2 linked regions of the Drosophila melanogaster genome follow. Changing the gene in region 1 together with any one later gene gives a genetic interaction. Each region holds a gene or a part of one and is shown in the gene's direction. Other genes may lie near its edges.

Region 1 (16,402 bases):
ACAAACTGTCAGCATAAATCTGGCTTATACATATGTAGTTTGTCATAATTTTCAGCGGTGAAATTTTCGACCCTCCTAATTGATTGGGAACGGATGTGGCAGCCATTCTCGATTGCTTTATACCTATTATTAATTGCCATAAATCTTGGAACACTAATAAGAAGAAGTCTGGGCCACAAATTCAGTGCTCAAGCTGCAAAGTTTCCAAGGCATTTAACCCGTCATTTGGTGCGACTGACAGTGGTCATAAACTATGTTAAACTATTTTATAAAAATGTTAGCAGGTGTAAACTCATAAAAGAAAAGCATTACTAACTGCAGAAAAACTTTATGTTACTTTGTTAATGAAATTTCATTTCAAATGTGTTACTAAAATATAATAGTCTGTTTCCTTCTGGCCCACTGTAGCAGCGTCTTTGATTTCACCCGTAAACTGTTTCGATGCTCGCCTCGAATTGCTTTCGTCAAATTATATAATGATGCCAACAGGGACCGGCCTACTACTTCGAAATCCGGCGACCAGGTCAGCAGGAACCACGCCCACTCACAGCCCTCGAAATCAACCGACAATGCACCTTTTGCGTGGGTGTGGCCGAAGCAGGCCAAATAAAAGTCGGTAATCCTTCGCCGACCATCGAATCCTTTTGTGCGAAGCAACGGGCCCTTTTCTCTGGCCACTTGACAGTTTAACCAAAAATGCAAACCGTTGAAATCAAGTTAAATAGTTTCTCGTTAAGCAGGGCTGGGCCGGTATGTTGAACCCTTTCGAGGCATTTATGTTGGTGCCTTTTTGGCCTCGCCGCGTAGCACCTGCCAAATGATTAATCATCATTTTGACGCTGCCCTCGACTGAAGTGCGTTAGTTTGTATTTTCCGCTGCTTAAATGCTAAAAGCTCATCAATTATCGCCCCGAAAGCCCAATGCATCTGCCTATTTTGGGGAACGGTCTGTCCACAGACTTCAGTCTTCAACTCTTTTTGAGGCGCCAAAGGTCGCACTTTCCTCTTTCATTTTCTCCTCTAATCATGTCCATCAATTTGATGGGTTGTAGGTGAATATACAAGTTGTCTTACTCGCTGCGCAATGGAATGAAGTTTTATTTTATAGCTCAGCACGTGGGAGGTCCACAGATCTCACTCTTTGGATATCGTAATTGGGTTACAGATGTTGGCCTAAGTAAGGAGAGGTCTTAAACGCGATAAAAGCGAGTAAAATATTGGTTGGCCGATTGGGCTGCTCAAATGTGGCCGCACTTTCTTCTCGGATAGACAACTATTTATTACTTGAGCCTACGAAAAATGTAAAATATTATCAATATTTTTAGTCATAAATTCGAATAAGTTTTATTTCATTCGAAATGGTTTAAAGTACGGCTGCGCTAACATGTCTCTTTGAATTTAAATATATATATTTATTAAATTGAGAAAGTACCTAACCTTTCTCCTCTTCCCTGCGAGTTTTCCTATCGCCTTCGTAGGGCAATATCCTGGATTTCTGACTGGGACCAACGCACCGACATCGGCACACTTATCCACAGCCAAAGCCAGGAATCCACTTCAATCGCACGCGCAGATGTTTCCCCGGAAAACCATTCAGGATTCGATATTCAGGACTCAGGCTGCAAGGATTTGTTCATTAGTGCGACCACTCGAGGCACGCTGCATTTGAATAAATAGAAGCAAGTAAAATAGAATGGAAAAAGGAAACATGACAGGCGAAACGGGAGCTGGGGATCCCCATGAAATTCGGGAGTTGGGGAAGCGTTGAGTAATTGAAAAGAAAGAAGCGTGCGCCGGCCTGTCGGTATATAAATCACCGTGCCACAGGATAATGTATCCCGAGTGCCCCGGAGCACTAATTTGAATTGCACCCCGGCATCTGCCAAGTGCCTGGAAGTACAATGTCTGCGGTGGCTGGCTTCGCTCGAATGCAATAGGAGATCCCCCCGATCCGGGATCCTTTATGTCTGCCTGAATGAGCCGCACCTGGTTGTGATTTTAAGAACCCAGCCACTTTGGATGGCAGGGGAGCAGGTTGATGCAGATCACATCCCAAAAACAACAGAAGCTCCACGATCGAGGACAGAAGATGTGACCAAAAAGCAGAGCCGCAAAAACCTCTAACTGCTTAAATTACAATATTAAAAGTTTATTGTATAGGGCAAGTTAACAGTGGACATTGGCAGGGGAATCGTCCACGTAATTTCTTAGTTATACTTTAAAGTCTAGCTTACATTTTTTGAGACAAAGCATTACCAAAAAATTAAATTTGATTAACTTAGATTTTTTTATTTAAATATACATTTCTTTAAAATTATTATAATACTATCATCCTCAGTTTATTATAAATATTTCCAGCTTTTTCCGCTAATATAGGTTTTTTTGTAATTCCAAGAGCATTCCTTCAGCTGTGGACGGGGCACGATGGGTGGACCAGTGACAGAAATCAGATCGAGCGCTGCGGCTTTGTGAACCCAACTGAACCTGCGCGGAGTGTACCGTTGTCCCATGTGGCGTTGCAACATCCCAGCGAGAAAATAATATAACATGAAGAAAACAGTTCCAGCTGGTGGCACGAGCGTAATGCTGTCGTTATACATTTTTACAGGTTGAAACCATAGCGTTGGAGTGCATTTTTTGCGATTGCAAATGGGGATGCACTGGAAAAAAGCAAGAGGAACTAAAAAAAAACCAAACTTTTGTTTTTTTCTTTCTTGATTTTAAAACACCTTAGAAATGTACTACATATTTTGAAGTACTTATATTTAAAGTGCCACAGTTAGTTTCGATTTTTTCCCGTGCAAGTTTTGGGCACTTTGGTGGGCATGGTGGTTAGGAGAGGAGAGGCATCCACAGGCACGCCGGCCAAACTAACAGCCATTAAGCGGCTGCCTCCGCCCCCCTGTGCCACAATTTTTGCATATGATACTTTTTTTTTTTTGTTTTGAATGGAGCTCCGTTGCCGCCTCCTGCTCATCGAGTGGGTCATGGTTTGGGCCACGGCTTGGACCAGGTTATCGCCCGGTTTATGGTGGCATCGCGCGTCATGTTCATGCCGAATTCCCGCTCCGTATGTAATAATTTTCGCTGTCTCCATCATCATTGGCAAGCAGTTTTTGGGGAGTGCATCATTATGCTCGTGGCATGCATTATACTTAGCCGATGTGCTTCAAGTTAATGTTGTTATAATGTGTGGGGCTACTTGGCGGGCCAAAATGAGTTGGGCATCGGCTTGAACATTGTTCGATTGAAAAAATCGAACAAATTCTTTTAATCAATATTTCAGTCTTCGAAATCATATCAGATATTGTAAATTTTAAGAAATCTAAATAATATGCAATGCTCCTTAAATCCCTTGAAGTTTCTGCTTAACATTTATTGCGTTTTTCGAAATGAAAATAAATTTCTCCTGACGTAATTAAGTACTTGCATTCAGTTACATGCATGTAGGATGTAGTATCCGACCACCTATATAATTCAATAATTCAGCAAACATAATTCAGACATTTCAATTGCTTCTCGTTTTTACGTTGTCTGGGTGGCAGCATTAAAGGTTGTAAAATTTATTTACAACAGTCCAAAACTCGACCTGCGTTTCGTTAATCAAACATAATGTCCTGCAGCATCGATGAAGAGAAAACTTTCATTTGCCAAGACCTTAAACAAAAAGCCCATGGGGCAACAACAAACCACACGCACTTTCAATGCGCCTGGAATTGGGTTTGGTATTGGAAACTTAACCGAACTGAAGATCCACACAGATCCGATCCGTGACGCAGTCTGCTGTGGCAATAATAAAAATGCTCGATTGTAATTCTCCCGCTGCAATTATTGTCTCAGCTTTCAAATGCGGTAGGGCTCGAAAGTTTTCGAGATCTGAACGTCTTGGCCAAAAGTAATTTTCAATTTTAACAGCCAGAGCATAAAATATAAAGCACAACTTGCAGCACACACTTGTTAATGCCACACGTTGGGGCAAGTGATTCCTCTCGGTTTATATACACTGCAAATAAAATTATTTCGTAAAATCTCAACTTGGCTCAAGCTAATAAAAAATATTTAGTTATCTAATGAGAGAAAAGACAATTGCCAAACCTTCGATACAATAAATATGTATTACTTTCACTAACATTATGGCCACAATACATAGTTTTAGGACCAAAAACTTGCTTGCAGTGCCAACTTTTGTCGCTTTTTGCCGTGTGTCCTGCAAAAAGAGGGGAATTACAAAAGTTTTTCATGTCTTCAGACAAATCTCATTAAAAGGCGTCGCATCTTCGTGTCGAGCCGCAAGGAGTCGAGTTCTCGGATCGAGCTGGAAATCGAAGTCCATGTCCATGTCCATGTCCAAGTCCATCCAGAAATCGTGGCCCAGTCATCGGGCGACTTGTGGTTTGTGGCCCTTTTTCCCTTCGCTTCGTTTTTTTTTTTTTTTACCAGGCGGGAGGCGTTGCATTTAAAATGTCGTTAATAATTTGTTGCTCGCCCCAGACCAAGATCAAAATACAGAGGTACGAGCCGGTTGGGAACGCTGAAAGCCCGAAACCCTTTTCTGCTTTTTAGAGCTTGTCGTAAAAAAGTTTTATTATTTTTGTTCCATTTTCATTGCCGCCAAAATAGGATTAGCCTGTTGCGGCTTGGCCTCTTTTGCGTCTTGTTTTTGTTTAATTTGGTTGGGATTTTTTTTTGTTTTTGTTGCCGATCGTGTCTGGGATGTTGCAACATCCAAAAATCGCTTAAATATCACCATTTTACACGCTTCCAAAATGTTATGGCAGGCAAAAAGGGATGCGTATTGGCTGCGATTCTGAAACGATGTCTGCGGTTTGCTTATTTGGGTCACCTATTTTCAAGTTTCGTGATTGATTTTTAGCAAATCTGGGGCTGAACATATTGAAATTAAGTTAGTGGTTTTAAGCGTGAAGTTTATAGTTCCAATACATAGTTACTAAAATAACAATACAATTTTTATATATTTATCCTCCAAATCTTTTGGAGGATAGTGTCACCGTCTGTTTTCTTTATTTTAAATTTAGTATTTTTATTATAAATTTATTTTATATTTTTATTAGTAATTCCAATTTCCACTCTCACTTGCTGGCGTGGAATTCCTAGCAATAAACCCGTTCGAGTGTGATTTAAGAGCGGCAACAAACGCAAACTAATTAACTTGCACAGCGGTCGAATGGATGGATAGTCGCTGTGTCGGTGGGTGGTCCTTTCCCGGCCCACTCCCGACCACTTTTACTACGGCCAGCGTCAAGAACGAAGCCAGAAAAAAACGAATTAGTTAACAAGATCATTAAATCTTTGTTAACAGCCTATCGAGCAGAGACAACGGCAACAGAGACTCCGTCTACCAGACTTCTAAGGCGAATTTAGAGGAGACGTCATGGGCAGCTTGGCCATATAACCACAGCCAAGCCAACGACGTGCGATAAGATAACAGATGCCCAGACCCAGGGACTCAAGCTGCTCTCAATATCCATACCCAAAGTACCTGGACATGGCATGTAAATCGAAGAACATGGCTCAGATCGCAAATAGTGGCCAAAATAGCTAAACAGTTATAGGGATATTTCCAAAAACTAGCTATTATTAAATTTATATTTTATTCTTATTTTATTAAAAGGTATTTTTGGAAGCAATATAATTAAATGTCAAAATTCTAATTATTATATTTTAAAATAAATATTTTTGAGAAATATTAATATGTATTTATTTATTAATATGTATTGATTAAAGGTAATCGACTGGAAGAAAAATAATCCAGATGGTCATCACTGGCCGCCAAACTCGAACCTGTCCTGTAGAATTGCACATGTTTATCTATTAATTTATGCTGGCGGTTTTTGGGTTCCTCGTTTGGCAATCTCAGTGGAATCGCACTTGCGCCCGGATAGTCTGCTTCCTGGGAATTACTGTGCAACGGAGTGATCTGCATCTGGATCGGAGTCCTCACAGGCACAGCAGTCGCCCTGCCACAGGGACAAATGCTTGATAAGAACGCTAATTAAGTTAAATGCCAACTGTGTGTGGTTTCTACACTGAAAAAAATATGTTGTAAACTGTATAGCATTATACTGACATGCTGAAATTTCATGCATGCTTATAGTTTTTATGTTAGTTGTTTAACAATTAGTATTTCATTTAACGTATTTAATTTCTATGCAAAACTATTACAAATAACTTTCTTCCTTAATAAATGAATTTGTTTTCAGTATTGCGGTGATTCCAGGTAAGTGATCAGAAATTGGCGTGGTTTGCTTCCCTTTGATTTATGTCCTGCCATTGGACATCGGTCGGTAGGAGGGGGCCACACCTACTATCTTATCTGTCGGGTGAACACTTTCGCTGTTTGTTTGTTTGGGTGTTGTTGCCACACATCTGCCACTTCGTGTCGAGCGTGCATGTGTGTGCTGGTTTCCACTTGAGGATCTCGACGTGCTCCTTAATTGTTTACCAGTTGTTTACTACATGGATCCTTTCCCTCCCGCAAATCTCAAGAACGCATAAATATGTGTATTTTGAAATCGCTTCTATGGACTATAGGCTGAAAGGTACCTTTTTGTGGCCAAAAAAGTCCGTAATATTAAGTTTTGATTACGTCATTATGTTATTATAAGATTAGACTTTAGTGTTGCGTACCAGAAATTTAAAAAAAAAAAAAATCCCGCACGGTTAACATAATCGACGGCAGGGAATATTAAATTATTAATCGAGAAATCCCCTGAGAAAGCCAAAATTTCATTAATAAATCAGCATGTCGCGGAGAAAATGTCTGCCAACGACGTGCATTTCCCTTATTTTAGATCAAAATGTAACAAAGAACAATATATTAGGGAGTTAACAAAAAATAAACATTTTTTCCTCGTGCTGCAAATAAAAAGAAAGATTGCCGATTAAATAATTCTTTAGTGTCTGGCACGAAAGCAGAGGTGCCTTTACAAAGTTTGCTTAACCAAAGTTTGCTTAACTTTGCAAGAAGAAGGCCTATTAAGAGTACAAATCAAAAATTGATCCCAAAAATGTCTTTTTACTTAAAAGATATGTATTTATTTTGGTAACAAAATTAAATATAAGGGGCGGACCACGCCCACAATTTTTGGTATCGTAAAGATATAGCCTAGTGTTACCCAATAAAAAAAAAAACAGAAACTAAATATCTCTCTCCGTTTTGTCAAAAAGGTACAATTCAGCCTTTAGTGGCTTTGGCGCCTCAAACGTTTTTCAAATCGAAGAGAAAATTTCGAGAGCGAAACAGAAACAAAGTGGAATCGAAACAGTGAGAGTGAAGAGAAGCAATTGGCTTAAAGAGAATGCTTATGCTCTTTTTCGTACTGAATTTTAGCTTGGCTCTTTCTAAACGTTCTAGTTGTATATTTACCGTATTGTATTTCTGAGAAATTTTCCTATTTTTTTAAAATTTTTTCTGGGTATTTGGACAAAATCGAATCAAATCCAAGTCGTAAAATTCTCGCCAATTCGATTACCGGAACATGCCCGCAGAAAAAAATTCTATATCATTATCTAATGATGAATTACAGAATAATCATATTAGTACGCCGAAGTAGTAAAGCTATTAATTTATTATAAATATTCCTAAGGATCCATAATGAAAGATGTTAATATATTTAATATTGTTTACTTATAAACGGGGAATACAATATTTCTAAAACTTTTTACGCAAAATCGATTGAATATTGGTTACTTTTGATTCCGTACAATAACATACTTGTTAATAAACAAATTTAGTGACTACAATTACTACGTTCACTCCTTTCTCCTGCCAAAAAACATTTTATTGATGCAGAAGTCTACCTGCTCATTAATGCATCGCCCTGTGTCCTAAAAATGTTAGTATTTTATGTTGGGTACCTGCCCATGTTTTTTGCGTTTCAGTTATTAAGTCAACTAATGATGCACCTGATAATGATAATGAGGTAAAAGGAAACCCTTGTTCGCTAATCCTCCAAAAGTGGGGTTTTTCGAATTTCTAGTTAAATTTCTAGGTAAGATCATAGATCTCCTTATTGCGCATTGAATGCAAATGCAGAGAGGACGAGAGAGAGCAGCTGCGGAGAGCACGATGCACACAGGTAAACATATTTGAATATATGGCCCACACTAGAGCAAATATAACGGCATCGCTTCGTTTGCGGCTTCGATTGGTGCAAGTGTACGAGTTCGGCACGTGAGGCAATTCTACATAAACAAGGCGAAACCTGTTTAGCCGAGTGCCGCGATTGGTCGACGCATATACCTGAATGAACATGCATACTCTCGGCGGAACGCCCGAGAGAGCGTTCTCTTTTGGCAGCTTCGTGTAATGAGCCGAGTGCCGAGTGCAGGGGCAGTATAAAAAGGCCGCACCACCGCCAAACTCGCTCAGTTATTCCCAGACTCTAACCGATTCACATAACCATCTCTCCCAACGCAATATACCCGAAATATAACCGATATTCAATCGCTTTGCTTAACGGAACACGCGTTTGGTATTTGTGCATCGATCGAGTATTTGTGCCTGTGTGAACATGACACACTGAAAACAAAGTGACGAAAATTAAGAACATTTTACAACAATTCCGGTAAACTATCAATAAAAAGCCAGTAAAATGCATACCGTGGAAGACATGTTGGTGGAGAAAAACTACAGCAAGTGCCCGCTAAAAAAGCGCCCAGTTAATTACCAGTTCGAGGCGCCTCAAAATCACAGTAACACCCCAAATGAGCCGCAGGATTTGTGCGTAAAGAAAATGGAAATTCTGGAGGAAAATCCCTCCGAGGAACTGATCAACGTCAGCGATTGTTGCGAGGACGAGGGTGTGGATGTAGATCATACAGATGATGAACACATCGAGGAGGAGGACGAGGACGTCGATGTGGATGTGGACTCGGACCCAAATCAGACCCAGGCTGCGGCTTTAGCTGCTGCCGCAGCTGTGGCCGCCGCTGCAGCCGCCTCCGTGGTTGTGCCCACGCCCACATACCCGAAATATCCCTGGAACAACTTCCACATGTCGCCCTACACCGCCGAGTTCTACAGGACCATCAATCAGCAGGGTCATCAGATTTTGCCGCTGCGTGGCGATCTCATTGCGCCCAGTTCGCCGAGTGACTCGCTGGGCTCCCTGTCGCCGCCACCACATCATTACCTTCATGGTCGCGCAAGCTCCGTTTCCCCGCCCATGAGATCTGAAATCATCCATAGACCAATCGGCGTGCGGCAGCACCGTTTCCTGCCCTATCCACAGATGCCCGGTTATCCGAGCTTGGGCGGCTATACCCATACCCATCATCACCATGCGCCTATCTCGCCGGCTTATTCCGAGAATTCCTACTACTCCATGCGATCGATGACGCCTGAATCCAGCTGCAGCTCCTCGCTGCCCGAGGATCTATCCCTGAAACACAAGAACCTGAACTTGAATCTAAACACTAGCCAGCCGGGAGAGCAAGCAGCAGCCAAAACCGGGGATATGTCGCCCGAAACTATGCCGAATGCCTCCGCCAAGAAGGACAAGAACCAGCCGCCGCGTTACCAGTGCCCGGATTGCCAGAAATCTTACTCCACCTTCTCCGGGCTGACCAAACATCAGCAGTTCCATTGCCCGGCCGCCGAGGGTAATCAGGTGAAGAAGTCCTTCAGCTGCAAGGATTGTGACAAGACCTATGTTTCGTTGGGTGCCCTCAAGATGCACATTCGCACCCACACGTTGCCCTGCAAGTGCAATCTGTGCGGCAAGGCCTTCTCGCGACCATGGCTGCTGCAAGGACACATTCGCACTCATACGGGAGAGAAGCCCTTCAGTTGCCAGCATTGCCACCGGGCCTTTGCAGATCGCTCGAATCTGCGAGCACATCTGCAGACCCACTCGGACATCAAGAAGTACTCCTGCACCAGTTGCTCGAAGACCTTCTCGCGGATGTCCCTCCTAACCAAGCATTCAGAGGGCGGATGTCCTGGCGGCAGTGCAGGATCCTCCAGCAGCAGCGAACTCAACTACGCCGGCTATGCCGAGCCGTAAGGCAATATATTTATATATACATTATATAGCTGAGATCCCAGCCATGTTCCACCAAAAATTAGTTCCTAGCTCTCTTAGGCGGCTCCAAGTTCCCGAAACTCCCAGTGCAGACACACAACTTCAAGCAGAATTTCACTTGTTTTTTAATTTCTAGTCAGCATTTTCTCCCAGAAGAGAGAAAATTAAAAATTACGTTTTAATTTGTACAATCCGGCAACATTTTTGTAACCACCACCACCAATTTGAATAGTTTGAACCATTTTAAAATGTGTGCCCATAATATATCCTAAAGATGAACTTTGTAAAGTATTCTTCGATTTATCCTGTACATAATGTATTATGTCTAACTGTAGACTCTAAGCTGAACAAATGAAACGCCAGACAATCAATCGTAAGCAAGACATACATCTCTATATTTTATACGATAGTATTTTTAGCCTAGCTGTAAAAACCGTAAACTATTTTTGATATGACCACTACTTTTTCGCGTACACATTGAAAATGTTCTACTGTAGCTTAAGTGAAGATAAGCAAACAACACATACATATATTTTGATACGAAAATGTTTTGTAATTCTAAGTAATTTATTGCATCAAGCGAAGAAAGAAGGAAATACATTTTATTTACATACAAAAAAAAAACATTGAAAACGTTTTTATTTCATTAATGGGTGGGCTTTGGGACCTTTTTATTTCAGGATAATATGCAAGTCGTTCTACACAAACTTAGAAAAAATCTTTTATTTTTCTATATACGGTAATTATGTTAACAATACCATACATATATTTGAAACAGTCTTAATTTGATACTCCTATATGCCAAAACATTGTTAATTTAATCATATTTAAGCATGGTATTTTCATATCAACTTCAGTGGTTAAATCTTTATAACATTTCTGGTCAGCTAATGTAATATTTGACATATTTAAATGTACATATATACAACCTTTAAATATTTATCTGTTGAATGCTTAGACCACATTTTCTATTGTCCACATTCAATTAAAAGTCAATTCCTATTTCCGGCAGAAGGTTCAATGGAATCTAGAATGATCGTGAGTGGTCTCTTCCAGAGTTCGCCACATATTTGGTTTTATTGGGTCATGTTCTTCTTCTTCGAACAAATAAACAAATCGAATTGAGTGGATCGGAAAATAAGAGCCGACCCAATCCAGCCATTCGCGACATTTTATGGCCCGCCCAGTGAAGCAAACGTAAGGCGCATTTTCTTTGGCAGACTGATCATAAATTACATATGTATATGTATGTATTTAAATTTCGGTGCACGTACGACGCGAGCACAAAATGGCAGTCACTAAATCAAACTTCAAGCCTCAGTAGACCCGCGCCCCGGCCAAAAAGTCGTATTAGACATGAGACGCGATCTTAATGAGAGAGCAGTGAAAATAGTGTCTTGGCCCGGAGATCATCAAGTGTGATCGATGCCTACCAGTATCCAGCCAAGCGGAAAAGCGCAGGGAAATCATAATCGTACGGTAAGGTATCGTTCGGGTGACAGAGCATACGAAATTATGGGTGCGTCCTCTGAAGCCAAACGAAATGAAACGAAACGAAACGAAACTCATTATCGAGATCAATCGATCGCCAGGCGGAGGAGAGCCTGCTCCAGAGGCCCACAAATAGCGCACACATGTGTGTGGGGATCGGGATCGGGATTGGCATGGGTTTGGGGATGGGGATCCGCCGATCCAGTCGATCCGCGATCATCGGCATCAGCGATCGACGACCACGACAATTGTTGCCAAATTAGATCATCAGGCAGCTAGAAAAGCAGCAAAACCCAAACGGCAACGGCAGCAACAAGTCTTAGTCAAGTTTCACGTGGCTACACTGAGCGAAAAGGGTAGGAATAAATACATTTTTAACTTGCTAATCTCTTCATCATTAATGCAAAGCCATTCGAACTTACCTAAATAGACATAGTTAATGGAAGGCAGATCTGTTTTAAACTTTATTACTACATTTTTCAAACATTGTGGAAATGTAAGTTTAGCTTTTTTCAGTGCATAGAGGGATCCAAGCCCAATCGGATGGATCGGGCCAACGTAAATATACGAAAATTAATATGCACGCATTTCGTGGCTCCACTTCCTCCACGGCGGCTTGCTTCAGTCTCGGGTTACCCAGCCTGCAGATCCACAGGGTCCAAGTTGCCGGTCTCTCCAGCGCCCTCAGCACCAGAGTAAGCCCCAAAAAGCGCAGCTCGTCGATCGGAGCTCTGCTCCCAAAACGACGATCGTTCGTGCCAGCTAGCTGGCTAAACAATTTGCAAACGATTTCTAATAAGCGTCTTAAATTGTAACAAAATAGACGCGCATTTAGGGCCTTTTGTGTGCCTTCGCCTGGCTTCGTCTGGCTTTCGATAACAAAGATCGAGAGCGAATAAAAAATAGAAAAATGAAATAAAAAATGGCCCAAAACATGGACAGCAACAAAACGGCAGGCTAACTGCCTCGCTTGACCCTCTCCCTACCCAAAAATGAAAAATATATATAGATATATAAAAAAGCAGCCCATTGGGTTTTTATTTCTGATTATTTTATTTTATTTGTGCCAAATTTCGCGCTTGATCGCTGCATTTTGGGCTGCTTTTTTGTTTTTGTTTTTTTTTACTAGCTATTCGACTGTGGGTAGCGGGTCCAGTTGGGGTTACTATGATGAAGATCTTTGGGTTAGGCCGTCGACAATTTGACTGATTTTGGGGACCCTGGCTTTTGGTGACTTATTTATGGCAAATGAATATTGTGCCTTCGGTTTGTTTGTGGGAAAATTTCCGATAGATGAATCTGGTTGGGTTCAATGAACTGCGTTCGAAGGATTTTGGTAAGTTTTCAAGATTTTGTTACCTTTTTCGGGGAATTTTGGGAATTACATAGGTATTTATCTCGTAATTTTATAGCTGGATTATGTACTATAGGAATATGGCACACATAGAATTAGTGTTTTCAAAAGTTGTGTTACCTAGAATTTTATGGTATATTAAATCGTTGATAAGTATAAGCGTATAAGTTATTTAAGACTTCAATTAAATATAAACCAATTCCAGCTTAATTCCACTTTAAAAGTGCATAGTATCCTAAAGTTGATGTACCCTGTTTTTTTTTTTAGCTATTTCCATCGCTTACTTCAATTCGTTAACAATAAACAAATATCACTCTCCTGACGTTTTTCGCAACTGCAGCTGTCTGTCTGCTCCTCCACCTTTTGGGCAACCATAACCCCACAGCTCCCAATCCCCACCCCCTCACCACGTGATATCCCTCCACTTGGTGTCACTGATAAAAACGGAGGATTTTCGCGAGGAAAAAAGTGAGCTGCACCATAATAAAGCAGCTAAAAGTCAAACGGCAACGCAGAAAGGTAAACAGATCGAAGCTTTATGAATATGCAAAGATAAACAAGCCGAGGAGCCTCCCCCCTTAGCCACCCACCACCTGCGTCACCCTTTTGTCTATTTGTCTATTGAAAAAAACCAACACTCTTTTTTTTGAATTTCAAATTTTTTAACGAGCCAAAATGAAAAACTTTCCAAACAAAAGCCAAAATACACACACACAAATATAGACGATCGATCCAGAGCAGTAAGTGATGGCTTTTGAGGGGCGCGAAAGAGAGGGAAGAGTCAGAGCGAGCGACAAAAAGCGCAAACTGAAATGAAATTTAGCGTAAAAACGCAGATCTTTTGTCTGCGATAAACGTGAGCGTTTTGTTTGTCACGACGAAACGAAGTGTGCTTTTTTGCGCGATTGCCAAAGTCGGATTTGGGAAATAACCCCCATTGAAATGTACGAAAAGGGTGGAAATATTTAAAATAGGGATTAATGCTATATTTAAGTCATAGATGGTAACCTCGTAAATTAAATCTTTTTGCTGAATTTCTTAACGCTTAGAAGATATCAGATTTTTCCTACCGAGATATGCAAAATATTTCTTAACTAGTCCAAATGTATTGCAAAAGCAGAAGAAAAGCTGTCATACGGAGAATCTCATTGTTTGAAAGATAGGAGAGAGATGCACGAAATGCACAAATGGGACTTGCTGTCTCCGTCTCGCACAGCCCCTTCCGCAACACCCCCCTTGCGTTTATCATGTGCATTCTTTGACAGTTTCAGCTAATTTGAGTGAGCGAACAACAACAGCGCAAGTGTTTTCTGCTTTTGTGTTTGGGGCCTACTCTATTCGCCACAGTGAGAGGCAGTGGGAGAGAGATGGAGATACGTTGGGGCCAAACTGTATGTTTGTGTGTGAGTGCAATGGTGAGTGCGTGAGCTGCACGACAACGATATCATCTTCAAATGCGAGAGTGAGAGAGACGACGTTGGCTGAAAATTGTTGTTGGTTCGGCCAATTAGTTAGTGGCTCTGCGTGCTCCAAAAGTAGTGTGGTGAGGGGAGCAAAAGGGGGTGGTACGTCGCAACAGGTGAGAGCGGGACAGCGGATAGACCAAGCTCAACAATTGCGGCAGGCAAAACAGCAGTTAACGCGTTTTATTGTCTGTTTGCAAGTGCCCACTGTTTCCCACTCTCTCCTCCACCGCACCGCTCTTACTCATTACTTTTCGGTGTTTGTGCGAAAGTGCTGCTGTAGATATAGCTATTTTTAGCGGGGAATATAAACATATTTATATGACTATCCACAATAATTAAAAAAATTTCTGATGATCATATAGGATTGGGTGAATAAATTACTGTCATACATTTCTTTTTATCCATAAATGCAATGCTAATTAAAGTATTGAAGATCATCTTTCGTAAATGTTGTAAAATAGTTTTATAATTTGTTTATATATAGTACCCGACATAGCTAAATGAACAGAACTCTTAGTCCTCTTGCCACCTCATTTGTTGTATTTCCCCCCTTTCTTTCGAGTGTGCGTGAGCTGTTTTACGTTAGTCAGAGGAGAGGGGATGCAACATGGCGTTGATCATTAGCGGAGATGGTGTTATTATTTGCACGTTTTGTGTGAAATGCACCCGCTCTCTCTCTGTCTCTATCCCCCTCTCTTTCGGCGAATGCGTTTGCTCGATCAACATGAATAGATTATAGGCCATGGGCTATAAGGCTCGGCTTTAACTATTTGCCCGTGGCTCAGAATAAATGAATCTTCGTTAAAGTTTGCAGCTGGCAATTAAAGCGAAAAACAAACTTTCTTCCACATTTACGGTTGCTGTGGGTGAAGAGCCCACTAACCTCAAGTAACTAACTTTAAATGATATTTCATTCGGCAGCCACTAATTAAGTTGTGACCCGCTTACACGAAACTTTGGCTATATAATTAAACAGAAGAAGCTAAGTAATCGATTAATGCTGATTAAAGATAAGTGCGCAATAAAGCTGACTGGCTTAGTCATTAGAATAGTGTTAACTCATTACTTAAAGACATTATAAAAGAAGAAACTATGCCAAATACGCACATAAATACTATCATTATATTCTTTGCATTGCACTTTTTATTGTGTGAATAAGTTAGTTTTTATTATATTGTTTCATTATACTGCGCACTACTTCCTCGTATCGATTACATAATTTCCTGCGCTTAGAATGATTTTTATTTTGAGAGCACCTATGTATTTGTTTCTCTTACAATCCTGTGGGAATCGCGCTTCATTTGTCTCATTTCCATATCTCCGACTTCCTTTCTCCCGATCTCCAGAATCCCCACCTGGCGGCCCTCACCTTCCGCTCCTCCGGCAATTGACCCCCGATGTCAGGGGCTCATCAAAACTACAGAAAGTTGGGATACAAAATATTAGATCCTGCTCCCACACGGATCTCCGGACTTTGAGACGAGGTGCAGTGAACTCACCGGCAACAGCCGAAATGGTATTCATATGCTAAAGATCCCAGTGCTCTACTTCCTTGCAGGCACATCGGATCGAATTACCAAAAAAAAGGAGCAGAGATAAAAAAGTACAAAACATCAAAATCAAGGCAGGAAAAAGAACCTGTTCCCTGGGATTTCCCCACACCCTCGCACTGATTTTCCCTGGACGTGCACATGCATAAAGATGAGGGGATTTCGGATTTGGGATCCAGATTCTATATGCTGGGAATGAGCGCTGACAAGCGGGCATCATCGGGAAAATCGAAATCTCGTTGGGGTCATGGGAAATTCTGGTCCCAAATCGGAAGTGGAAACCGTTGGAAAATCACGGCAGGATGCGCTGTGGAAATCTTGCCCTGTCATGTTTGCTTATAATTTATGTTAATTTTCCATTTCATTCCATTTCAGCATAACAGGACTCTAGTTTTGATTAATAGAACACACCTTGAAACAGAAGGGAGCTACATGCATACATACATACGTGTGAATTTCAGCTGTGAGAAGTTTCAGCCTCTCGGAATATTATGA
Region 2 (16,476 bases), on another chromosome or scaffold:
ACTATTGGAAATAAGCAAGGACGAACAATGCGGGGGGAACAATTTTAATTGATCAGAAATACAAACAAGTGCAAAAAAATCACGCAACAATGCCAGAAAGAAGTTTTTTGAATGGCCAAGCATGCCATTGTTTGCTTGGGGCGTTTGTCCTGTTCCTTTTCATGTTTTGGGTAAACATTGATTCTTCGATTCGAATGTCCAAAGAACAGGGGAGTGATTTGATTTCAGGACCAGTGGATTCATAAAAAGACAAGAGCTCTAGTACCGAAATTAAATTCCATGAAATTGCCAAAGAAAAGGAGTTTTCTGATTAATCTTTTGGAAATAAAGGACTGCGAAATACACAAAAAACATCAAATGCATTTACACTTCTTGGAAAGCAACTAGATATTCTATTTGCGAAGAAACAATTTGTCAACTTGTTCTGCCTAGATATATTCTTTAATATATAGGTTTGCGTACATTTTTTAATTTGACATCTTTTTATAAGCTCTTGTAACTAAGAAATTTTAAAAATTGTTGGCCTGGAAGGCTTATTTATAAACATTATATTATATTATTATAAGCAGCAGCTGGCAAGAACTATGTTTTCGGTAATCTTATCAAAAGACTCATATTTTTCCCCTAGAAACGAATGTCGGTCACAAGTGTCTTATCAGCGGGGAGTTTTTTGGGCCACAGGCTGCAGTGCAGTCGTTGAACATCCGTAGAGTCCTTGTGTGCCGCATGCCAAAAGTGCCGTACCAACGTACCCAATGGTTGATGTCGACAGAATTTAAATTACTAGCTTCGGCGGACTTCAATCGCTGTGTAATCTTGAGCTGAAATTTACTTTTGACGCATTTCGAGCAGCAGCAGACAAGTCCCACTTAAAGGATCACTCGAGTGCATTTAAATCCTCGTCGGAGCCAGATCCTTTCGGCTCTGCCTAACCGCAACTTACCGACCAAAATCAATAGTTTGAAAAAATGCGGAATTAAGGCAAAAGAACTCAACGGTGCGTAAATTTTTCTATTTGCCAATTTGCCTGATAGCAATTGAATGAGTTTATAAGTAGGCAATCAACGCTGAAAACAAATCACGAAAAAAGGAATCAACGAGACATCACAAGAAACCTAATCATTAGTATAGCATAGTAGTCGAAAAGGGGTTACACATAATAGAAACAGAAAAAAATCGTCCTTCTTTGTTGCGAAAACTGCAATTCAACTTCATGAATTGCAAAAGTAGGTTAAAGCGGTTCTGCAAAGGAAAGATATGGCTAAATTCCCTGGTCTACTATTATCCGACTCAACAAATCTTAAGCAGTATTTTTTAAGTGCTGTAGGCTTTTCATATCACAAAGCAGAAAAGATCTTTAAGAATTTGATCAATAAATTGCCCTTAGAAAATAAACATTTTACAGAACTTCATAATATAAATCTCTTAGACTCATTTTAATCCTTTCAGGTTTTTTCTTCGGCTACGACAGCATCCAATACAGCTTCCTTATTACAATGGTTCAAGTATTCAAAAAATTGTTTTCATATTTAAGCAACCAAAGTAGTAGTAGAGTAGAAGTAAAAACCTCCTAGAACTTTTACCATATACCAATCCGGGGTGGGGTCCGACCCAGAGTCACCGCCTATCCAACTAGATGGTACAAAGGCGGGACGCAACCAGTTCAGCAGACACCTGCGACTGGCACGGCTTTAAGCCTTAAAAACTGGCAGCGCGTGCGGTCAGCGGGCTTGCAAGTTGAAGGGGTTGTTAAAATGGTACAGGATCGTGAATTTCAATAAGGTAAAGGGGTCGAGGGGATCGAAGGAACTGAAGACACGCGCTCAGAAATATGTCTGTAAAGCCCGAGTGGGCAAGGTTATTTTTTTTCACAAATTAAAGAATGTCGTTCGTAGGGCGTAGATAACTCGTGAGCTGTTTAATAAAAATTGTACAAATTGTATTTTTTCTAGTTAGTGTGGCTAATAATGTATACTCTCGCATGATATTTTTAGTCAGAATTACGTTAAGTGCATGTATATCCGATCATCGTTTTAGGGAAGTGTGTGAAGAGTGAATTTTGACAAATTTGCATTGCCGCCGGCTTTGAATCCTTTATAAAAAACCGTTGCGCATGCGCATCCCACTGCCCCGCCACCGCCCTCTTTCACCAACGCCAACAGGTTTCTGAACAATGACTTCCACCCTCCCGGCATTTAATTTAATCGGCTACTCAAATATAATTTTTATTTCACTCCCGATTGTTCACAAAAATAAATGTGCTCATTGTTGCCGTGTTTGTAGAAAATTTCGTAACCAGTTGCAATCCTGTTGCTCCCGATTCTCGAGGATTCACCCTCGAACATAAATCATCGGGCTGCACAACAACCCATATGAAAGTGCAAGGATGCTTTTACGTCGTCCTGGGGTCACGTTGTCATCACATATATATGAAGTGAAAAATAGTTTAGGACTACATAGTTTTTAAAACTATGTAAGAGGTGTACGGATCGAGAGAACTACACAAATTCAAGCCCATATGGATTGATTCACGAGTTCCACCCACAGGCTGAATTGCCGATTTTCAGGCAGCTTTTGCTGTTGGTCGAAAGTTACCAGCGATCCCTAACGCAAACACCCCTAATCCTGCCGGAACTTAATGCCCAGGACCTTCCTGTTGGCATTGTTTGCTGGCACAGGGGTTGCTCTAAAGGGAGCGAGACAGCAAGCGTAGAAAGAGATCTGAGTTCAATCGCAGAGCAGAAGAGACGAAGGGCAGAGCTGTTGAACGATTGCTGTGCAGCAGGAGCAGATGTTTTTCGCGGCAGAATGACGATGCAGGATCGCTGGCGATCAGCGACCCCAGCACGGGACACGATACATACGGAATATACGGAGCTCTATGTATATGAACATAACAAAGGGCATTAGAGCGGGAAGGGGCTAACGACAGGGAGCCAGAGCAAATGCGAGGGAGATCCACAAAACTTGTTTTTGGGATAAACTCAAATTAGACCAAGAAATCATTTAACGTGCAATAGAAATTTCGAGGTATGTACGAAAATGTAATGTTAAAAGGCCTGCCTTAGCTATAAAATATTTTCTCATTTTTAACGTATGCTTAAATGAACATACACCGCACATATGTACATATACTCTTAGCTTTTCCACTGTGTATTGCCTAAATTATAGTCCTCCCTTATGTACCCTTAAGCCTCGAGCGAAATATGTCCAGATTTGATCAGGATCGATACCGGATAAGATAGAAACAGCACCTAGCTCAAAAGAGAGGGGAGCAGTAGGGGAAGAGAGTAAGCGAGAAAGGAGATGAGAAAGGAAAAATGAGAAGCCAGGTGAGGGTGAGGATAATTTATTATTGCTCGGATACCCCCGAAAGCGCGCCAAAGGTCCCCGATACCCTAAAATCCAAAGACCATGCGTTTGGTCGAAGTGTCCCCGACACACAGAGAAAACTATACAACACGTACGCACTCTTCGACTGTTTAAAAATGGATTAATATAAGATGGTGTCCTTAGTTAATATAATAAATATATTACAAAAATATAAGTGTTTAAAAAATTTGAATAATGCTTGTAATATTAGATATCACTATAAAAGAAGAAAAGACGTGCCAATCCGGCTACAAAAAAAGATCCATTACAAGAACACGACGACGGAATGCGTATTTATTTCTTGCATGATTCACCACATTTATTTCAAGATGGTTTTTTTCTGTGTAGGATCTCAGGTAGAAGACACACAGACACTCACTCACATTTATGTAGAGCACAAGGCACGTGCGCGATCTGAAAACAATTTACCACTCCGATCAGCGTGAATTGTGAGTTTCACTTTAAAGTCGAATGCAGTTTTTAAATAGAAACTCGCTATTTCCCCATGTATTGTTTAAAAGAGGTATTAAAACAGCCCGCACCCGCTCATTTTTGCTGCAAGGACGGGACACAGTTTGCCGCTAAATAAATAGCAGAAATGATTCGGGAGTAACTCTTTTCCTTAATTTTTTGGCTAATTTTATTTAGTTTATAGTTAGAAAGAGTTACATATCTGTACACCGGTCACTTGTAACTCGTTCACGATCCGATGGGGGGAATATGTAATAATTAGAAGGCATCGTCACAAACATTTCCTTAAACAATGTCCCAAAAATGGTGTTCACCCGTAGAGCGAGTCCTTTTGTGTAGTTCTCGGCTGGGGTCCTTTCACTTTTCCCCCAGTGCTTGACTCCAAAGTTATTTCAAGGACTTCCACGGAAAGACTTCCGTTCCATCAAGTTTTCAACACTCATAACTCGAAAGACGAAATAATAATATGAAAAAACAAGAAGCGGTAAAACAATTTATGAACGAACAACTGTGCACAGATGCTAAATGATGAAGCATCCTAAAGGATCCACTTGAGTCAACGACGAGTACACACAGAATATGGGCCCAGGACATATTCACCCGGCGCCTTTCTCCGGTTACAAAATGGAAAAAGAAGAGGGAACTTAAATTTTGGAAAATCAAAGCGACTTGCATGCGTTGGCAGATTGATTTACGATTTTGGAGGGTCAAGCCAAATAGAACGACTTCAGGTTTCAGTAAATCATGGAGGATCCAGTATGTTTCCACGCTAGCGTCAATTCCGTTTACTCATCTGTTTCATTACCATTTGGCGTTTCTCTCGTCGAAAGATATTTTCCCATTGAAATCAATGCGTTTTTAAAATGCAAATAAACCAGAAACCAGAAACCATTCATAAATTGTATTTGCCTAGATTGGAACATTTCGATCCGCCAAAGATAACAGCCAAAAAAATATATAAAAAAAAGAGTGACAGGACTACAACGCAGGTTCTTAATTTTACGAACGTGGGAGTAAATTCGAAAAGGTATGCCGCGTCTTGGGGCAAAACTTTTTTGAAACCGTTTACATGTAATATTTTTGGAATCGCTACTTTTATGTATGGTTAATTTAATTATGAACTATTTTCTTGCAGTGCACGAAAGGCGTGGCTGGGGCAAGGAACAGTTCCTTGAGATGAGTGCTGCGATGCGTCGTCAAAGTGGGACGCAACCGAGTCAAATCCTCTAGGACAACAAAGGACGCCGAGCAGTACTTCCCAGTACTCAAATACTCCTCAGTACGCACAAGCGTTGACTCCTTTTTCTTTGAGAGCTCGTCTGCATAATGAGGAATGAGGACGTGGCATCCTGGATCAAAAACCGGTAGTCGGTCGTCGCAAGTTTCTTCTCCCCGCCGGTTATCCTGCGCTCAAGTCCTTTTCCTTGAACCTTTTAAGTGAACTCAAGTTTATAAATTGTGCAGCAAGTACAACACACACACATATGTATACTCCTCTATTTACTCAGGTTTGTTGGAAACTACCTGAGAGGAAGGATCAAAAAAGTTTATTGTAGCACTCGAAAACTTGTTTGCACAGATAGACCTAAGCTCCAAAAAAAAGAATAGATTATAGAAATAAAGCACTGGTAAAATTATTTTCCCACCGGACTAATTGCCAGAAATTTTTTGCCAGACGTAGAAAAAACAAGAATGTAGAGAAGGATGGGTGATTTCTCACCCCTTAAAGGATTTAAATTGGCTCTCTGGCATCTTGTCAATTTCCAACATAAATTGTAGCCCTGTGAATTACCTAAGACATTACTTTCGCAGTATATACTTGCTGTTTATTAGCTTAACAATAGGAAAATGTTTTTGCCAATGCAAGTCCTGGTAAATATATGTATATATTATCCAGTACGAGTTTTTGAAAAGTTAACAATAGGTGATCCCGAGACATTTTTCGAATGAAGTAGAAACCAGTCCTTGGTTTTAGCTATAAGCTAAAAATAAAGATTCGATGCATTTCTGCGTTTTACATGACGAATATTGGAGGTCTAAGGTGATCTATTAGGATATTTTGCAAATTCCTAGGTGGTAGGGCATTCCTTGAAAACCAGGGCTGAAAAAGCTCCCCAGGGAATATACTTTTTATTATATGCATACGTATATGGTTATTATAATGTCCATATATTAATAGGGGCGGTATATAAGCATAATGTGTTTGCTGCCGATAAATAATGAGAGAGAGCGTGGCGAAATCCACCCTTGAACCAGGTGGACTTTTTGGCTCGAGTTGATCAGATGTTAGTTTTCCCAAAAGCCGTACTGTATATAATATATATATATGATAAAGGTGTATGTGTGAGCGATCGAGAAGGGACACCCAGTCTAGGGGATGAAAAGTCAGGCCCTTTACATAAGGGATACGCAGGACCTCAAATGCCTTCTGTTTTGTATGTGTGTGCTCTGTGTTGTGTATGTCAGTCAACGAAGTCACTTCCGTTGGGTTTGCGTTTTAGTTTGAGTTCGGAGTTTAGGGGCACGCGACACAGAGCGCCAGCAGCTGTCCTGATGCAAGGACACGGAAACCATATTACATCAGTCACCAGTTAACATTCACTCAAGAAGGACTAACTTGCTAAAAGTACACCCGCAATCGCCACCAGTTTTTCTCCCGCCCTCAAAAAGCCACGAATCAAAAAACTTAATTATGGCCGCCTTAAGCTTCAGCCCATCACCTCCTCCAAAAGAAAACCCCAAGGAAAACCCCAATCCAGGAATAAAAACCACGTTGAAACCTTTTGGAAAGATTACCGTTCACAATGTTTTAAGTGAGAGTGGCGCCAACGCCTTGCAACAGCATATAGCCAATCAGAACACCATTATTCGAAAGATCCGGGACTTTGGCATGCTGGGCGCTGTTCAAAGTGCCGCAGCCAGCACAACTAACACCACACCCATATCCAGTCAACGGAAGAGGCCCCTGGGAGAATCCCAAAAGCAGAACCGGCACAACCAGCAGAATCAACAGCTTAGTAAAACATCAGTGCCTGCTAAAAAATGCAAGACCAACAAGAAGTTGGCGGTTGAAAGGCCCCCAAAAGCAGGAACTATAAGCCACCCTCATAAAAGCCAAAGCGATCAGAGTTTTGGGACTCCTGGAAGAAAGGGTTTGCCTTTGCCACAAGCCGTTGCCCGTAGAAACGCTAGGGAAAGAAATCGCGTGAAGCAGGTTAACAATGGATTTGCTTTACTCCGGGAGAAGATCCCAGAAGAAGTATCTGAGGCTTTTGAGGCCCAGGGGGCGGGTAGAGGAGCAAGCAAGAAGCTATCCAAAGTGGAGACCCTCCGCATGGCCGTAGAGTACATAAGAAGTTTGGAAAAACTGCTGGGATTTGATTTTCCACCTCTCAACAGTCAGGGGAATAGTTCTGGTTCCGGCGATGATAGCTTTATGTTTATTAAGGACGAATTCGATTGTCTGGATGAACATTTCGACGACTCGCTGAGCAACTACGAAATGGATGAGCAACAGACTGTCCAACAAACTTTATCCGAGGATATGCTAAACCCTCCGCAAGCCAGTGATCTCCTGCCTAGTTTGACTACATTAAATGGGTTGCAATACATCAGAATACCAGGAACCAACACCTACCAACTGCTGACGACTGACTTATTGGGCGATTTGAGTCACGAGCAAAAACTTGAAGAAACAGCTGCTTCGGGCCAGTTATCGCGATCGCCCGTGCCACAAAAGGTGGTAAGAAGTCCCTGCTCTTCTCCAGTTTCACCTGTCGCCTCGACTGAATTGCTGTTACAGACACAGACGTGTGCCACACCGCTGCAACAGCAAGTAATCAAACAGGAATACGTCAGTACCAACATTAGCAGCAGCAGCAACGCACAGACTTCCCCGCAGCAGCAGCAGCAAGTTCAGAACCTGGGATCGTCGCCTATTTTACCCGCGTTCTACGACCAGGAGCCCGTGAGCTTCTACGACAACGTAGTCCTTCCCGGATTCAAGAAGGAATTCAGCGATATTTTGCAGCAAGATCAGCCCAACAATACAACCGCTGGCTGCCTTTCGGACGAGAGCATGATCGATGCCATTGACTGGTGGGAGGCACATGCACCTAAATCTAATGGTGCATGCACCAATCTGTCCGTTTAGCCGAATTTTTTCACATCACGCATCTCGGAAAAGCCGATTGCATTTTTTGGCATACTTTTTAAATGATTTTAAATCCTCACAGCATAAGTCTGTGGCAGGCCATTCTATCTAAAGTTTTTTTTAATCAAGCCATGACTGAGTCATTGTGTAAATATCAATTTAAGCCGAGAAAGGAGGATAACTTCGGCCAGCCGAAGCTTATATACCTTTGCTGTTAAAACCATGTATTTAATATGAAAGTTCGCACAATTTCGATGAAGTTTATCACAAATTTACGATTTCATCAAGATTTGTATATTCTCCAAATTCTATAAAATATATGTACATTTTTGATTCTTGCTATGGTACTTGTACGTATGATATTGTTGATCGATCCTGCCCGAGTCACCTTTTATATCACCAGACATGCCGATCATGAATATTTATTGATGTGGGGTCGGAAATGCCTCACTGCTACCTTCAGACATATTATAATATCCTCTGAAAGAGTGTGACAAAATGAATGTATGAACACTACATATTTAAAGTCATCTAGTGATATAAACCAAATGGAAATAACCTTGTAAGACCCAACCACAAAATAGTTATCCTGATAAACGGCTTAATGTTGAGCCGGACTAACAGAGTGTCTAGTATATAACAAAAATTAATGTATTTGTGTAACCATATTTTTTTTTTATAGATTTAATTGTAGGAACGTTAAAATGACAAGCAGATAATATATGCTTTTGAATAAATGCAAATAAATATGAACATTTCCAAAAACTTAATTTGTTTCTTGTGGTTTTATTTCTCAACGAAAATTAGGTATATTAAATGACAATTTATAATTTGTACCACATTTTAGAAAAAAAGGTGTTTTATATTTTAGAGAGTGTCTTATGGCACAGTATATCTCCGGTGCTTTATTGACTCGATATTCAAAATGGGGTTCCTTCTGTGACAGAATGACAGAATTCGGATTTTTTTCTAGCGGTTCTTTTTTAAACATGTGCCTTGATTCATAATGACACAAGTAATTAAAAACGCACCAAAATAAATATTAGGGAAATTGAGAGAAAGCGGTTTTAGGGTGAACTATTATTTAGGACCTAACCGGCAACCGCAAATCAAACGAATTGCTTTTAAAAATAGAGTCTAGTCTGTCTGTCCTCATAGAAGTCAAGAAGTGAAAAGCCAAAACAGCTTGAAATTCCAATAGCGGCTACAAACTTGAAGTTGTTTTAAAACCTTGTCATGCTCACCACACAGACCCTCATTAACATTTGGAAAATATTTTCAATGATATTTAAGGGAATGGTAATATATTTTTTTATACAAAGTTGCCAAGCCTTCACGCACGTCTTTTATTTTGCACGATATTTACTCACCCTCACTTTTACTTGGCGCTATACTCTCCTGCCAATTGTGCTCAGGACTTCATTGTCCTGTGCTTACGTGTTCTCATGTCTCTCTACCCGTCCCTTTTTTTGGGACATCTGCCCAAATAAAACAAAACGGAAGAAAAACCAAAAAAAAAAAAAAATAAGAAAGGGCCGGTCCAATGGATATGGATGATGCAAAACTACATAAGACAGGCATACTGTAAGGAAAATCAATTGAAATCGTTTTCCATTAAGAATAGATGGCCTGTGCCAAATGATATTCGCATCTGCAGGATCCGAAAACCAAAGAAATCTAAGTAGTACACTGAGGAAACAACACGATCTATTTTGAGGTCGAAATTACAAGGCGAGGCATTTTTTCCTCCATTACTATTTTTTTTTTTTCGCTGTGTATATGTATGTGTTGGCGCGCTCCTGAGCGCCTGAGATCGCCTGCAACCCCCTTTTTCAACAGTTTTCAGTTTTTCCATCCAGGTGCAAAGGTGTTTTCCTATCATTCTTTTTTTGGTCGTGTGGTGGGTGCGCCGTTCACCGTTAGCAGTGAAAATTGTTCACGCACCGTTATAATTATTAAATATTGGTAATGCGACACGCCCCTCAACCGTACACCTCCGAGTTTGGGTCGAATTTCGCATTTTTACTGTTTGAACTGGGAAATCATTGCCGTTATGTGCGTCTTTTTGTTGTTTGTGTTTTTGGTGAATGTTAAAGGCTTAGCACCGATAAGGAATATGAGCCCTATCGTATCCTTCGATCGGCAGATTTGCTTTCGTAGCTCTGGGTGCTGCAGTCGCTTTAAGTTGTGCCCCCATTATGCCATTTAGACCACGCCTCTATGAATGCATTATTACTGAATGCCGTCTGTTTTTAAGTTCACTTTAGCGTGTGCGCATGCTCTTGCCGCTGACTTGATTGGATTCACCCCTACTTCTCTGATCCACTGACTATCCAATTTCTGGGCACATTGCACTGCAGTTATCCCGGGAACCAGATGCTGCCTTTGACCCGCCGAATCCGAGTTGGCTCGATGGATCTCGTAATTGAGATAGGTGACACGAAAAAAAAAATAATTTCTTCGAATTTTAAATCTTTAATAATTTTTGGAAAACCATGTCATCTAGCAATCATTACCTTCGCTTATTGTATATTCAAAGAAAACGGTAATGGTTTTGAGGTCTGATCCGCTGATCCCCAGTAACCAGTTGGCAAGGTTATATTTTCATTCAAGGATTTCATCCTTCCGTTTCATTCAGCATTGGACCAAAGAGAGACTTCTCTGGCAAATAGTATTCGTAATACTGTGTCTTCCGAAACTAACTGCCGGTCAAGCCGAGCTACTTAGACTTAAGCAGATACTTATACTCGACGGCTTTCAGTTTTTCTAAGTCCTTAAGTGGACGTACTTCAACCCACAATGAAGCACTTAAGTGTGCGCTCCGCGCTCAAAAACCCTAAGCGGGTCAAGAAACCAAGTCAAAAAAATAACTCTGGACAACCGTTAAAACCCAAAGCGGGTTAACACTTTCTAGTACCTCCTGCGGTTCGCCTAAGCCCTCTCCCATAATTTTCCCTACTTTCTACTTCAACCATTGATGATCTGCGAATTGCTAAACAGATCTGAGCCAATTCCATTCCATTTTATTTCCACATCTATACACATATTTCGAAATTTTTAACCACCATCAATTTTCGTTAATTGAGCCCCAAGCAAGATGCTTAAGGATAACACATGTGACTTTCGTCGTCCAGTTTTAGAAGCAATAAGCGAGACTGCTCCCTAGGTCTGGTTGCACATGTTTTCCAGGACATATTTCTAATGTCACTGAATCCACGTCGGCCTCATACCCTGTCGTCCTAGGACTATATTCCCATGTTTTGACTTACGCACCCAGGGTGGCCACTGGGATTATTCTAAGTATGAAGTACAGTATCGGCATTGAGTCACCAGGCTCAATTGTATGACAGACACAATTTTTACTCCCGCTCACTCCAGGGAGCGGTATTTTGTCAGTTTTGCATTGATTGAGATGTCCTGGTATGCAGCTCCTCGTTTAATAGTTCTTTGTTTGGCCTTACCTTCTCTTGACTATAAATGAAGTTGTGTTGGGGAAGCAATACAAGGCCACACATTCCATCCCAAACATATCCCTTTAGAAAATGGCTTTCAGTACTCAACTTCGTTTGATTGCAATGACCACCCATTACGGAATTTCTAAAGAGACTATAAAAAATCATTTTTACCGTTTTTTAAACTATCAACGAGAAATGCCAAGGAATGGCAAGGCAAAATCAAACTGTGTCAGTCTCAAATGGTAAAATATCAAAACTTTAGGTACACGTGCGAGTTTAAAACCGGCGGTCATCAAAGTATATCCTGGAGTGTCACGCATGAAGGACATAGACCACAATCTGATATCCAGTTAGCGTGTTTGAGGAATTCCGCCATAAAAAATAGAACGAATGTGCACAAACTTCCGGATGCCCAAAGACATTGGATTGGGTTGCAGATCCGCAGGTAGTGCCGCTATTTGCCTAGCGCAAAAAGGACAATGACCAAACAGAATTTTGGTTTTCGGGACCTGCTTCATGCCCCTTTTTATGTCTGCCGAAGATGCTAAAGAAGGGTTCATAATTCAAATGCAGCAAGGCAGGAAATACGGAAGAAACCGAAAGGATTTCCGTTTCGGCTCGTTACGTTTTGTAAATTGATATTCGGCAATCGATTGCCTAAAAAAGGGAAAGCCGGCTTCTAACGGCGGAATTCAGCTAATCACAAGAAGAGAAGGCTAACGAATTTCCGATACACCTCCTTTTCATTGACCGCGAAACCCGCGATAAACTGCTACCGATTCCGACACAATAGCATTCGCATTTGTCAGCATCGCAATCTGCATCCGATTAATCGCATTACAAATCGCCCATCGAATGAGGTGTCGACTTAAGATCAGTATAATGCTAACAAATATGAACAGGTACCCAAAATGCGAGCGAAATAAAGTAAAACAGAAAATACCTTGCCAAGGACAGCGGCCTGAATCAATATTATGACATTGCCAGCAGTTTGCAAACCGTCGATTGCCTCGCATTAGCGCATTAACTTGTTGATTGGAAAACCGCAGAATCATAAGCCAAGTCGACTTGTTCACTTGGTTTGTCTATCTGCATTCAAATTTCTTATAGTTTGGCATGTTAGCCAAGTTCGTAGAAACTACGACCGCCCAGAAGGAGAACATTACAAGATGTGCAATTACAATTGTTTTGCAGCTCTATCGGCTACGTGCCTCGCATACGTGTATTTTTCATATTTTTTGGGTTTCGTTTAAACCATTTGACTTAATAAATACTAGAATAAAGAAAAAAAATCACACTACATGGCTACGAAAAAAAAGTATAGATAGTGGTAAAAGTAGGAGTACTAAAAAGGTGAAGAGCACAAACAGTTGCGTTGAATAGTTGGTTAAAAGGATATATAGTATATACGTATACATTATATAGGGGCACCACTCGCTAAAGACCAACAAACAAAAAGGTATTAATCAAATATAAAAGTAACGAGTTAAAAAACGAAAGAAAAATTAATTGACTCTCTGGCTGGCTTGTGCGTTGGGTTCTTATTCGGTGTTTTAGATTTATAAGTTCGTCATCAAGTTTTCGGTTTGGGATATTCATCGGTATTCATCATCTATATACAGGGCTGGATTCCGGTTTCGGGTTCGGGGTTGCGTGTGTGTAGTCGGGGTCCTAGATTTCTGGATTCTAGGCCACCGTGGCGTACTGACGCTTCTCCAACGAGACATTGAATCCATTCTCAAGCTTTAGGATGATGTCAGCCTGCAGCTTGAAATCTGCCTCCGTGTCGGTGGAGTGGACAATATAGTTCCTCACGATGGTGGATAGCAGGACCTTTAGCTTCAGCATGGCGTACTTGCGGCCCACACAGCTTCTGGGTCCAGCGCTAAAGGGAATGAAGGAGTAGTAATGCCTGTTGGCCATCCTCTCGGGTAGGAAGTTGTCCGGATCGAATTTGGTGGGATTGGGGTAGATGTCTGGACGTCTGTGCACGCAGTACTGCAGCACGATGACCGTAGTGCCCTTGGGAACCGTGTACGGACCACTGGCCAACTTCAGGTCGTAGTCCAGACGCCTGGCGATAAGTGGTACTGGTGGGTACAACCTCAAAGTCTCTAAAATTACGCGCTCCAAATATTTCATCTCCATGGTATCGGCAAAGGTGCAATCCCTCAGCATATTATCCCCGAAGATGGCCTTCTGTTCGGCGAAGACTTTAGCCTGGATGTCCTTGTGGATTCCCATCATGCAGAGGGCGAAACTAGATCCCGCCGAGGTGGTATCGTGGCCCTCAAACATAATTGTATTCACCTCATCCATGATGTCCTTCTCGTTCCACTCGATATCGGGGTTCTTAGCCATTTCCACCATGGCATCTAGAAGAGCCAATCGCCTCTTGGCGCCCACATCATTTTCATCGATATCATCCAGATCATCGCGAAGACCCTCCTTCTTGGAAGCGGGAGTGCTGGCAACAGGTGTAGAAATCTCCTCAACAATCGCACGTGACTCCTCTTGGAAGTTCTCCTTACGATCCTTGACCACCTTGCTGGTCATACCCAAGATGATGTTCATCATGCGATCGCCCTTCTCGCGAAGCTTAGTAAACTTGTAGATGGAATCCAGGCGGTACAGTAATTTAACCTGCCTCTTATGTATGATATCACACATGTCGACGACGGCTTGGGCGTATTCGAAACTCTTGTTACCCTCCGGAAGCTTCTTCACACCCATGGCGGTAGACAACAGGATGTCAACCGTGGTCTGCGACATATAGTCATGAACATCAAAGGATTTGCCCGCTTCTAAGCCCATCCTGGCAACTACCGCCTTTGAGTGATCCACAAATGTAGGCACGAAGCTCTTCAAGATGCTCTGGTGGAAGGTGGGGGCAATCATCTTACGATGATGACGCCAATGATGTCCATTGCTGATCAGTAGACCATCACCGAACCAGGGCTTGAAGTAGCGATACTCCTCCGCCTTGGTCAAGTGCTGGTGCCCACTCAGGATCAACTCGATGTCACTGGGATTGGTTAGAAACACCAACAGGACGTTGCCCAACCAGGCCTTCATGGTTTCTCCGTACTTGTTGAGGTAACCCAAGCCAACGGCCAGGATCTCGGCATTGCTCAAGCCGGCGGCCACATGAGCCTGTCCCAAAATAGGCAACTCCGGTGGGGATGGTATATTGGCAACCATGCGGTATTCCCGGCTATTCCTGCGCCAATACTCGTACAATGCCATGGCCACCAGGGTGCCCACTAAGGTGGTTAACATAGGACTGAATCCCAGGACCGTCGTCGACGAACTGGACGCCGCTTGTTGCAGCGTCTCCTGAACTACTTCCACTGCCATGGTTGCTGTTGCTTCTTTGCTCCTGATCCCTGGTCCTCTGGTGCAAATCCTTTTTGTCTTCTGAAGATGGCACTGTTGCTATATCAGCCGCCAGTGCTCAACTGTGAATCGCCATTGACCACATGCAACATTTTATATGGTTCCAAGAGTTCTGGGGCCACTGGTTGAAGTCAAGCATATGCCACTTTGATTTCCAGTCCCACTAATTAGCAAAGCAAATCAAAGTCACGTACTCGCTTGCGGTGATACCTTTGGAACCAATGCCTGCACTGCGTCATTGTAGATCCGTATAAGCAGACATGACTGCATTTCGAAGTCCGTGGTTGTCTTTGATTTTACGTTTGGTATAGTATATTAATTAAAATCCTTTCGTGGTTCCATTTTAAAAACATAAACATTGAATCCTAGTATTAGGAAACATTATTTGCACTAAATAATAAAACATTTATAACACTATTTGAGTTCCTCCATTGGACGTCAGTTCGTTTAAACACCTCAACAGCGTAAAATTCTTTTAACGAACTTTTTAGTTCCGTAGTTCTAAAAATAGCTATTTTTTGCGAAATTTGCGACACATTTGAATGAAAAGTGAATGTGTCTACTGTCTCTTTCACCAACCCTACTTCTTGCGGATGTACGTTTGATGCCAGGATCTAGAATATGCAAACCAGCCATTGGCTGTTCGGCTACCTGTATTTTACGGCATTTACCTGCTGGTGAGCGGAAGTGGGTGATTCTTGCCTCGCTTCCTGACATTTTAATGATATTCCTTTGTTTTGCTTTCGCTTTTTATTAAATTTGGTTTCGGCGCTTTTGTCCTCGACACCTGAGCAAAAGTATGCAAAAGGAAATATCGAGTGAGTAAACAAGAGAGTATGTAAGCCACAGACAAAGAAAAGGAAGCTGTCTCTTTTGTGGACCTCGTCCGCAACATCCTCCAGCTCCTCCATCGTTATCCGATTGTTTTTATAAGTGATTCTTATTACCATTTATTTTTATGGCATTTTGATTATTTGAGCGCGTGCGCAAGGCATAGTAATTAAACATATAACATTTAACGTTATACTCATAGGTCTATGTTTATAGGAAATCCTATTAGTAATAGTTTGCAATGATTAAGGTTATGGATGTTGAAATGATAAGCAATTTATTGAAAATAAGTTGCCTATAGCTTACCTGAGATTCTAATTTATTTATAAATTGCCTCTGTTGCTTGATTTAATACAATGAAATAACACGACCGCTATTTACATATGTACATATGTATGTACATCACATGTAAAAGTAACCGTAAGCTACACCGAACATTTGCGTCAGATATTTAACAGCATTTATTGAAACCACAGTTACAAAAACTGTAAGCGACACCGAAAACACACTACGAAAACCTCTAACAATGGTTTTTAACTAATTTCGCCGTTTTATCACTAATCGTAGTCCAACCGAATGTAGGCCTCCAATATCAAACTGCACTCACCAAATTGACCGGAATAACTGAAATCACAGAGTGTAGTCAAAATAAAGTTACATTTCAGGCAACTTTAGAACAAAGTAACGGGATTAAAAGCTCGAACAGTCGATAGTTGATGTAGTGGAAAAGGAAAGGGAACAAAAGAGAGATGAAAGATAACTGTTTCATAATTCGATCTCTTTTATATACATACATGT

The links.
Region 2: of esg (region 1) and ase, changing one suppresses a phenotype caused by changing the other (phenotypic suppression), as found in Drosophila melanogaster (2 studies listed by BioGRID).

The regions. Positions count from the first base shown.
Region 1 is NT_033779.5:15,325,479-15,341,880, forward strand, and holds esg (escargot), read left to right. Parts: upstream 1-8,387; 5' UTR 8,388-8,615; coding exon 8,616-10,028; 3' UTR 10,029-10,660; downstream 10,661-16,402. UniProt on the Drosophila melanogaster protein: Transcription factor that can both stimulate and repress transcription. Binds to the consensus DNA sequence 5'-A/GCAGGTG-3'.
Region 2 is NC_004354.4:454,421-470,896, forward strand, and holds ase (asense), read left to right. Parts: upstream 1-6,326; 5' UTR 6,327-6,535; coding exon 6,536-7,996; 3' UTR 7,997-8,756; downstream 8,757-16,476. Other genes in the region: Cyp4g1 (cytochrome P450 4g1), read right to left, coding at 13,138-14,808. UniProt on the Drosophila melanogaster protein: Involved in the determination of the neuronal precursors of optic lobes in the central nervous system.